Daphnia pulex: one gene and its partner. The protein of the gene in region 1 purifies or fractionates together with the protein of each later gene. This does not show direct contact. Links are inferred from orthologs where the notes say so. Each region holds a gene or a part of one and is shown on either strand. Other genes may lie near its edges.

Region 1 (3,330 bases):
GCGAGAAGCTGCTGGCGTCGACTCGTGAGGACTAAAGTAAAATAGCCTCCAGCCATGCCGAGGTGAAAAATGAGAGAGAAGAAAGGTGAAAAATGGGAGGGAGAGGGGGCGATCTCTTTCAAGGAGGATTTACTGCCCCAGGCGATCTCGATTCGTCCGATTGTTTAGCAGTTTTTTTTTTTTTTATGTGTAACAACAGTGCTCTCTTATCAAACAATGGTAAAAGTCGTCTCACAATCACAATCTTTTTGTAAGGAAAAAAACAAAAAATGAAGTAATAAATTCCCGGAGTGGGCGGATCACATTTTTTGAATTGACAAATATAGCTACTCCAACGCCATCTAGCAACCTTTTTACTGACTTGGTAAATTTTAAGTTGGGAAATCTTTTCAACTTTTCAATTTTGCCTGGCGAGAAAAAAATGGAATTTTGTACAAAACTGACACTGAAAAGTAAAGGAAACTTTTTTGTCGTCTCTCAATGTGCCAGACACAATAGGACAGCAGCAAAACAGCATTTATTGACTTTAAGGAGGATTGAACTGATTTTACATGTGTTTATTTATTATCAAAGAATGCAGAGCAGTTGGAGAAATTTCGGGCTATGTTTTTAAAACTCACAGGAAGTAGGGCGTCGTTGTGTATGGTGGGATAACACGCTCACTGTCGGGAACAGCGTTGAATAGTTTAGGCTTACGAGACTTGTCTTCGTTCAACGCCAAGATACCAGCCACGTTACCACAGCGGTAGCAGTAGTTTGGCGCTGACCAAACAGTCACCAGCTTGTCGTCGAACATGAATTTGTAGCCTTCGTGAACCAATTGGTGAGCACGACAGATCAGCTCTAATCCGTTGAGATGCATAAACTCATGGGTGACTCGAGAGCCGAAAAGCCAGCCGGCACCTCGAGGGCTAATTGTCCAAGTTTCCACATCCTCAGGATCAGACCACACTAGGTCACAAAACGCTCCTTTGTGCGGAATCTCCTGATTTCTTTCGATTGTGCGGATCTGATCAAGCGTCCGAATAGAAGGGGAAAGGCCGCCATGCACGCACAACACTTCACCATCAATTAACTATAATGAAGAAGCCAATAGAAAAAAAAATTAATAGAAAAATAAGCAAATTAATATTAATAAAAGATTGCACCAAAGTGGGCTATTTACCGCAGCAACAGTGAGTAAATCAAATAACTGGCAACAATATCTCCATGCATTTGCATTTCCATATTTGTTCTGACATTCATCTAGAGCCAAATGTTAGCAATCATTAAAGATGAAATGAGTCTCAAAAATAATTTGTGGTACCATAAAAGCCATAGACTTGAGTGATTTGTCTGGATTCATGGTTTCCTCTCAATAGTGTGATCCTGTCCGGGTATTTGGCTTTTAATGTAAGCAACCGTGTGAGGGTTTCCAAACTATAGTATCCCCGGTCAACAAAATCTCCAAGGAAAACATAGTTTGTGTCTGGTACTTGTCCACCAGTTCGGAAGAGCTCTTCCAGGTCATAAAACTGCAAAAATAATTACTTACAAAGGATTTATCCATATAAATTGAAATATTTAAAAAAAAAAATACCTGGCCATGAATATCTCCACAGACAGTAACTGGAGTTGAAACATAGTGTACATTTGATTCTTCCAGCAACAAGTCACAAACCAATTCACAAAGTTTCTGAAGATAAGAAGAAAAAAATGATTAAAGAATAATTTCTTGACATGAACCATACTGACAGCTTAAAGTCCTCGCTTAGGAACAACCAAATGTAAGTGAAATCACATTTTTAAGTGTTTCACAAGTTTTATTGCATATAAATCGTTTTGAAATACTGACGACAAAACCATGACAAAACTTCTTATGTAAGGTGTCGATTGGCAGGAGAAAAGACGCGTATTACAGAAGTTCTACCACGGTTTTCACGTCCTTAATTGAAGCACTATTAAAAACTGTCAGCATGTTATCTGTCAACTCACCTTCATTTCATTTTCAGGTAGGTATTTACATTCGCGGGCTATATCTATCCATCTGTCTACATCTGCCACCATTTTTCTTCGTGACAGAACCAATTAATTGGAGAGAACTTTTCTTATAATTTCGAGTCGACTTTCTTCTAGGCCAAACATTTGACGTCCACTAAGAACTGTCGAAACTCGTCAGTAGCTGTCGCTCCTATTTTTCAGTTTCATCATGGCGTCTGCTATTCCCACATTTACAAAAATCGGCAAAGTTATTCGCTTAAATAAACATGGATGCACTAATCGACCTTTTTACCACATCGTCGTTCAAAAGGTAAAACAAAAAGGTTACATCTCACATATGAAAATATCCATTACTTTGAAAAAGAAACTATAAATACTATGTAAGAAATGATTGGATGGCACGTCTAAACTGTCGCGTTTTGGTTTCTCTTGAATTTATAGACGAGGGACAATTTTGACGGTCCAGTAATTGAACAGGTTGGCAGTTATGATGCCATGCCCAACAGCCAAAATGAAAAACTAGTCGCTGTTAATTTTGAAAGAGTTCAATACTGGCTTGCTCAAGGAGCGGGGATGAGTAATCCTGTTGCACAGGTGAAATTTTTAAATGCTAGGTATATTGATCTTCAATTTAAATGCTAATTAAACTATTCTATAGCTCCTTGGTCTCTCTGGATTTTTGCCTAATCATCCTCAAACTCTGATTCAGTCTTGGAAGAACAGACGAGAACCACCTAGAGAAAGAAAATTACAGCCTATCAAAGGAATTGCACCTCCTCTTGACAATCCCAAAATTTAGTTTGCTGTATTTTTCATTATATAGTCAGAATAAATCATTTTGTTAAAGTAATTTGTTGACTGGTATGTAGGAAATCATAAATTTTTTTAAAGCCCTTGCCAACTGGCTTTTTTTCCCCTCTCTTTTGTAGTAGACAAAGTAATTCAAATAGGATATTTGAAAATCAATTTTTGAAACTTTTATTTCACACAGTTTGTAAATTGTAGGGATTAGACATTTTTTGCATTAATCAGTTGAACACTCGAATTTTTTAAATTTTATCCATGATGTAATATTTAAGGATCCTTTGGAGTAGCGTTTACAACTTCGACTAAAAAAAGAAAAAATGACAAAGGTTGAGACTTGTCTACTGCAATAATAATTTCATTCGCCATTTATTACCTCAACATGAATTGCTAGTACTCCATCATCTTCAGCATTGCCGATACTGATCAAAGCCTTGCCATCAGAGCCCACTGTAACTGATTTGCCTGTGCACTGTCCGTTGACCAAGTTGCCTGAGATGATGTCGCAGTACGTTCCAGCCGAAAGACATGTCTATTAATTCGTAG
Region 2 (4,023 bases), on another chromosome or scaffold:
GGTGTGACCGTTGCTATTGGGTATCACAAAGTGTTTCAACAGCACATGTAAGGCTCCATGCTGTCCACCTATGTAGAATAAAAAAAAAATAGTAAACATCATTTGTTATTTTTCCGAACAACTCTGGGAATGCAAACCTGCCGCAGCGTAGTGAAGTACCGAATAGCCTTGCTTGTCCAAAGCGGAGACGTCTGCTTTGCGTTTCAGTAAATATTCTACACACTTGCCGTCGGTGTCCATAGCAGCGGCGTAATGGAGGGCAGTTGCACCGGTTGAATCTGTTAAATTTACACTGGACCCCACACTGACTAAAGTATAGACGCATTGGAAATGAGCTTGACTTGCAGCATAATGCAATGGAATCCGACCAAAGGAGTCGATCAAATTAAAATCAGCTCCACTACTGATAAGTAAATCAAGGCATTCAGCGTTTCCTTTAAAAGCACACAGATGAAGGCATGTTCTTCCGCAATCATCTTGAGCATCTAATTCACCACGGACTTGAAGGAGCTTTCGACAACATTCTACATAGCCGCTGAGGGCTGCTAAGTGCATTGGAGTCATGCCACTACGACCTTTTCGGCTAGGATCAGCCCCGACGTTGAGAAGCACGCCAATCAATAGTTCGTGCCCGTGTGCAGCTGCAATGTGTAGGGCAGTGCAACCTTAAAAGGAAACCAAAAATAACCATAATAAATACGAGGTGTTTTTATTCCGATGGTTTTGACCAGCGAATTAATATCTAATGAGAAAATAGTCAACAAATAACAAATTACTTTATCACTAGAATTATAGCACAAATTTCTAATGGATTAGCGTAAACCGATTGCTTAGAATACCTAGCTGTAGCTTGTCTATATCCATTTAAAAACTATGTCGAGTGAGTAATTAATGAATATATAAAAATATGTGTCAACTCATGACAAGCTAAAAAATATTAAGATGATTGAATAGTTAAAAAAGAAAGATAGTGCAACCTTCTTTGTCTCCGATATCAACTAGCGCTCCTCGATCCAAAAGCATTTGTGCTCTCATAAATCGCCCGTGAATTGCGGTCATGTGTAAAGGGGTGCGCCTAAAATCAAATGAATTTTACATTGTGATTTATGTTTCCATGCTGTTAACAAAGTGATAAGTTAATACCCGTCTTTAGCTTGAAAATTTATATTCGCATCTCGTTCTATGAGAAGGCCCAAGCAACGTTCTCCCTATGTAAGAATGTTCAAAATCAAACGTAAATTGTATTCATCTAAAGTGATTTTTCGGCTTACATGAGTCGCAGCAGCAGATACATGAATTGGAGTCTGCCCTGCTAAATTTACAGCACTGACAGAAGTTCCTGATGCTATGAGATCCTGACAGACCAATTCATGTCCGTTAAGACAAGCTGTATGAAGCGGAGTGTTACCGAATGAATTACTGGCATTAAAATCGGCCCCCGCTTCTAGGAGTTGTTGCACCACAAAAACTTGTCCACTAGCAGCAGCCTAATTCAAATTAATGGGTGTTATTTCCGTGAATTCTCATAATTATTTGGCGGAACTTAGAGTTAGTGGTAAAACATGGTAAGACAAATGTTATTGGGAAATTACCGCGTGCAATGGCGAATACAAGTCTTTATCTCGTATATTTACTTCAGCTCCATTCTGCAGTAAGATTTTCACGACGGACTCATGACCCATGTAAGATGCCCAATGTAGTGCGCGTCTATCTCTTTTGTCGAACGCATTCACCGAGGCTCCATGCTCAATCAAAAGTTCTACCAAATCACAGTGACTAGAAAAATGAACAAAATCAGTTAGGGAAACTAAACACATCACAGAGATCACAAATCTCACCCATTAAAAGAAGCATGATGCAGTGCTGTACGACCTGTTCTGTCAGAAACATTTACAGTAGGAGATGAAGCGAGTAGGGCTTCAGCACATTTGTAAGCATTATTACAGCTGGCCACATGTAAAGGAGTCTGCCAGTTTTTATCACGAGCATTGGTATCAGCATTATACTTCAGCAAAACATTAACTGCATCCTGCAAAATAAACCAAATATGTGTAACTACTAGAGAAAACTATAAACATTTATCATCAAATCATTATTTTGTTACCTCATTTCCTGATTTGCAAGCTCTATGTAAAGGTGTAAGCCACTTGGAATCTTTGATATTTATTCTTGCTCCCTTTTGTATTAAAAAGTCTGTGATGTTGGCATCACCTTTGAATGCAGCAGCATGCAACGGACTGCGTTTTTCTTCATCTTGATAATTGATGTCAACATTTTCCTTCAATAGATTTTTTATTTCGTTGAAATCTCCTTTGAAAATTGCTTGAACAAGAAGAGGCTGCAAAAATGCAAATTTACGTCAGTCATATTTAACTAATAATTTTAACATAGCAACATAATTAGTGTCACTTAAGTTGTAAAGCGATTTCATCTCAACCGTCGAGACACTGGTACTTGCGTCACAACGTTAAAACTGAAACAGTTTGATGCATTTTGAAAAATTGAAAACAAAGTAAAATCAAAATACTTTGTTTGTGAATATTGAATACTTTAATCGCACGATTTCTGTTAATTATTGACACAATTCTGTCTGTAAGCAAACTCACTTCATTATTAAGATCTAAGATAACCATTTCAAACAACTTTCCGGTCTCGTTCACGAAAAAAATTGAGAAAGGAATTTACATGAGTAACAAAACCACATGAAGGAAGAACCGGAAGAACTAAATGGTTTTGTTATGTCGTGCGCCACCATGCACCACCGTGGTGTCATGAGCAAAGCACAGCAGTATGATACGTATATACGTGGGATGGTCACGTGTCTATCCAAGGGGAGGGGCTAGTTTGGAAAAATCTGGTCTCTTTGAATTTCTTCCTTCAAATTTTCAAACCAGCCAGTCGCCAGCGCCATCTCTGGAACTTGCCATGCAGCGTGTAGACCAGGTTCCTAGCAGACGTCAGGTGTGCTAAAATGACAAGTTCAAACTCCAAACTGTCATCAAGTTTGATTTGATTTGACATCGATTTGTTTTTGTGTTCGCTACTCGGACCAGGCTTTTATCCCTTCATTAATTAGAAAGATATAATCTAGACTAACCCAAGAGGGACCGGCCGGGCACGGCAATTCTTCGTAATATTTAAATGAAAGGAGAGTGATAATAATCCGTTGCTTTTCGGATGCTTTTATTTCGTGATAACATACAACACGGAATTCAAATATGTGGACATAGATATTACAGCCAATAAATCAAGGACATCTCTATTCAAATGTTCCTAATATTTTGAAAAAATTAAAATGTTACGTTAAGGATTTGGAATATTCGATTTCCCGATGTGTAATTCCTTGGCGCAAAACTACGTCTTTATGAAATAATAGTGTTAACCATATAAAAATTATACAAAAAAAAAATAATTTTTAAGAAAGATTTTCTTTGCAAATATCAACTCAAGGAAAATAACTGACACGCGAAATATGTTCTACTAAAAGGAAGGAGAAAACACAAAATGAAAAGGTGTGACTGTTTGAGGAACTAAAAAACGACTAACGCAGGATAAATACTTTAACAACAATTAAGCGTGCAACACGTACTGTCCAATTAAACATATTACATAATTGTTTGTTAATTAATTTGTGTTAAATGTTTCACATGATATAATTTTGTATGTTGGATCACGCAGAATGGAAAGTACCGAACTTATGCAAACTAACGTCTATAATTCAATATTAACTTGTAGTTGATAAGTCGATCTTTCGAAACCTTTCCTTTCGGTCGTTTCACAAAAATAGTTAGTGCGTTACTGTGTATTCCTACGTGTAATAAACTCATTTTTAATCAAAACAATAATAATAACGTTTCATAGTTTCTTTTTGTTTCTCGTATGTCCCTATTCAAGTTCAGTTCTTTATTACCCAGCCATTTAATTTGTAAAAAGGTCTTTAAAAATCATATAAAATATTTAAAAAAAAAAACTCTGTCATCTAATCGTTACTAGTCTGATTTTTTAACGGTTGAGGATATAATT

The links. Proteins that work in one complex are often made in the same cells at the same time.
Region 2: the proteins of serine/threonine-protein phosphatase 6 catalytic subunit-like (region 1) and serine/threonine-protein phosphatase 6 regulatory ankyrin repeat subunit A-like purify together in Homo sapiens (affinity purification with mass spectrometry; 9 studies listed by BioGRID and IntAct, with this or other methods). This does not show direct contact. The link is inferred for Daphnia pulex from reciprocal best matches to the Homo sapiens genes PPP6C and ANKRD28.

What each region holds. Positions count from the first base shown.
Region 1 is NC_060019.1:6,997,070-7,000,399, forward strand, and holds serine/threonine-protein phosphatase 6 catalytic subunit-like, read right to left. Parts: upstream 2,119-3,330; 5' UTR 2,047-2,118; coding exon 1,975-2,046; intron 1,676-1,974; coding exon 1,580-1,675; intron 1,515-1,579; coding exon 1,307-1,514; intron 1,246-1,306; coding exon 1,166-1,245; intron 1,076-1,165; coding exon 617-1,075; 3' UTR 501-616; downstream 1-500. Other genes in the region: probable 28S ribosomal protein S16, mitochondrial, read left to right, coding at 2,189-2,290, 2,422-2,574, 2,639-2,779; alpha-amylase 1-like, read right to left, coding at 3,078-3,089, 3,161-3,316.
Region 2 is NC_060017.1:4,293,210-4,297,232, reverse strand, and holds the start of serine/threonine-protein phosphatase 6 regulatory ankyrin repeat subunit A-like, read right to left. Parts: upstream 2,801-4,023; 5' UTR 2,634-2,800; coding exon 2,607-2,633; intron 2,429-2,606; exon of another isoform or gene 2,410-2,428; intron 2,339-2,409; coding exon 2,105-2,338; intron 2,030-2,104; coding exon 1,839-2,029; intron 1,777-1,838; coding exon 1,593-1,776; intron 1,488-1,592; coding exon 1,272-1,487; intron 1,209-1,271; coding exon 1,144-1,208; intron 1,076-1,143; coding exon 978-1,075; intron 666-977; coding exon 138-665; intron 69-137; coding exon 1-68. UniProt on the Homo sapiens protein: Regulatory subunit of protein phosphatase 6 (PP6) that may be involved in the recognition of phosphoprotein substrates. Involved in the PP6-mediated dephosphorylation of NFKBIE opposing its degradation in response to TNF-alpha.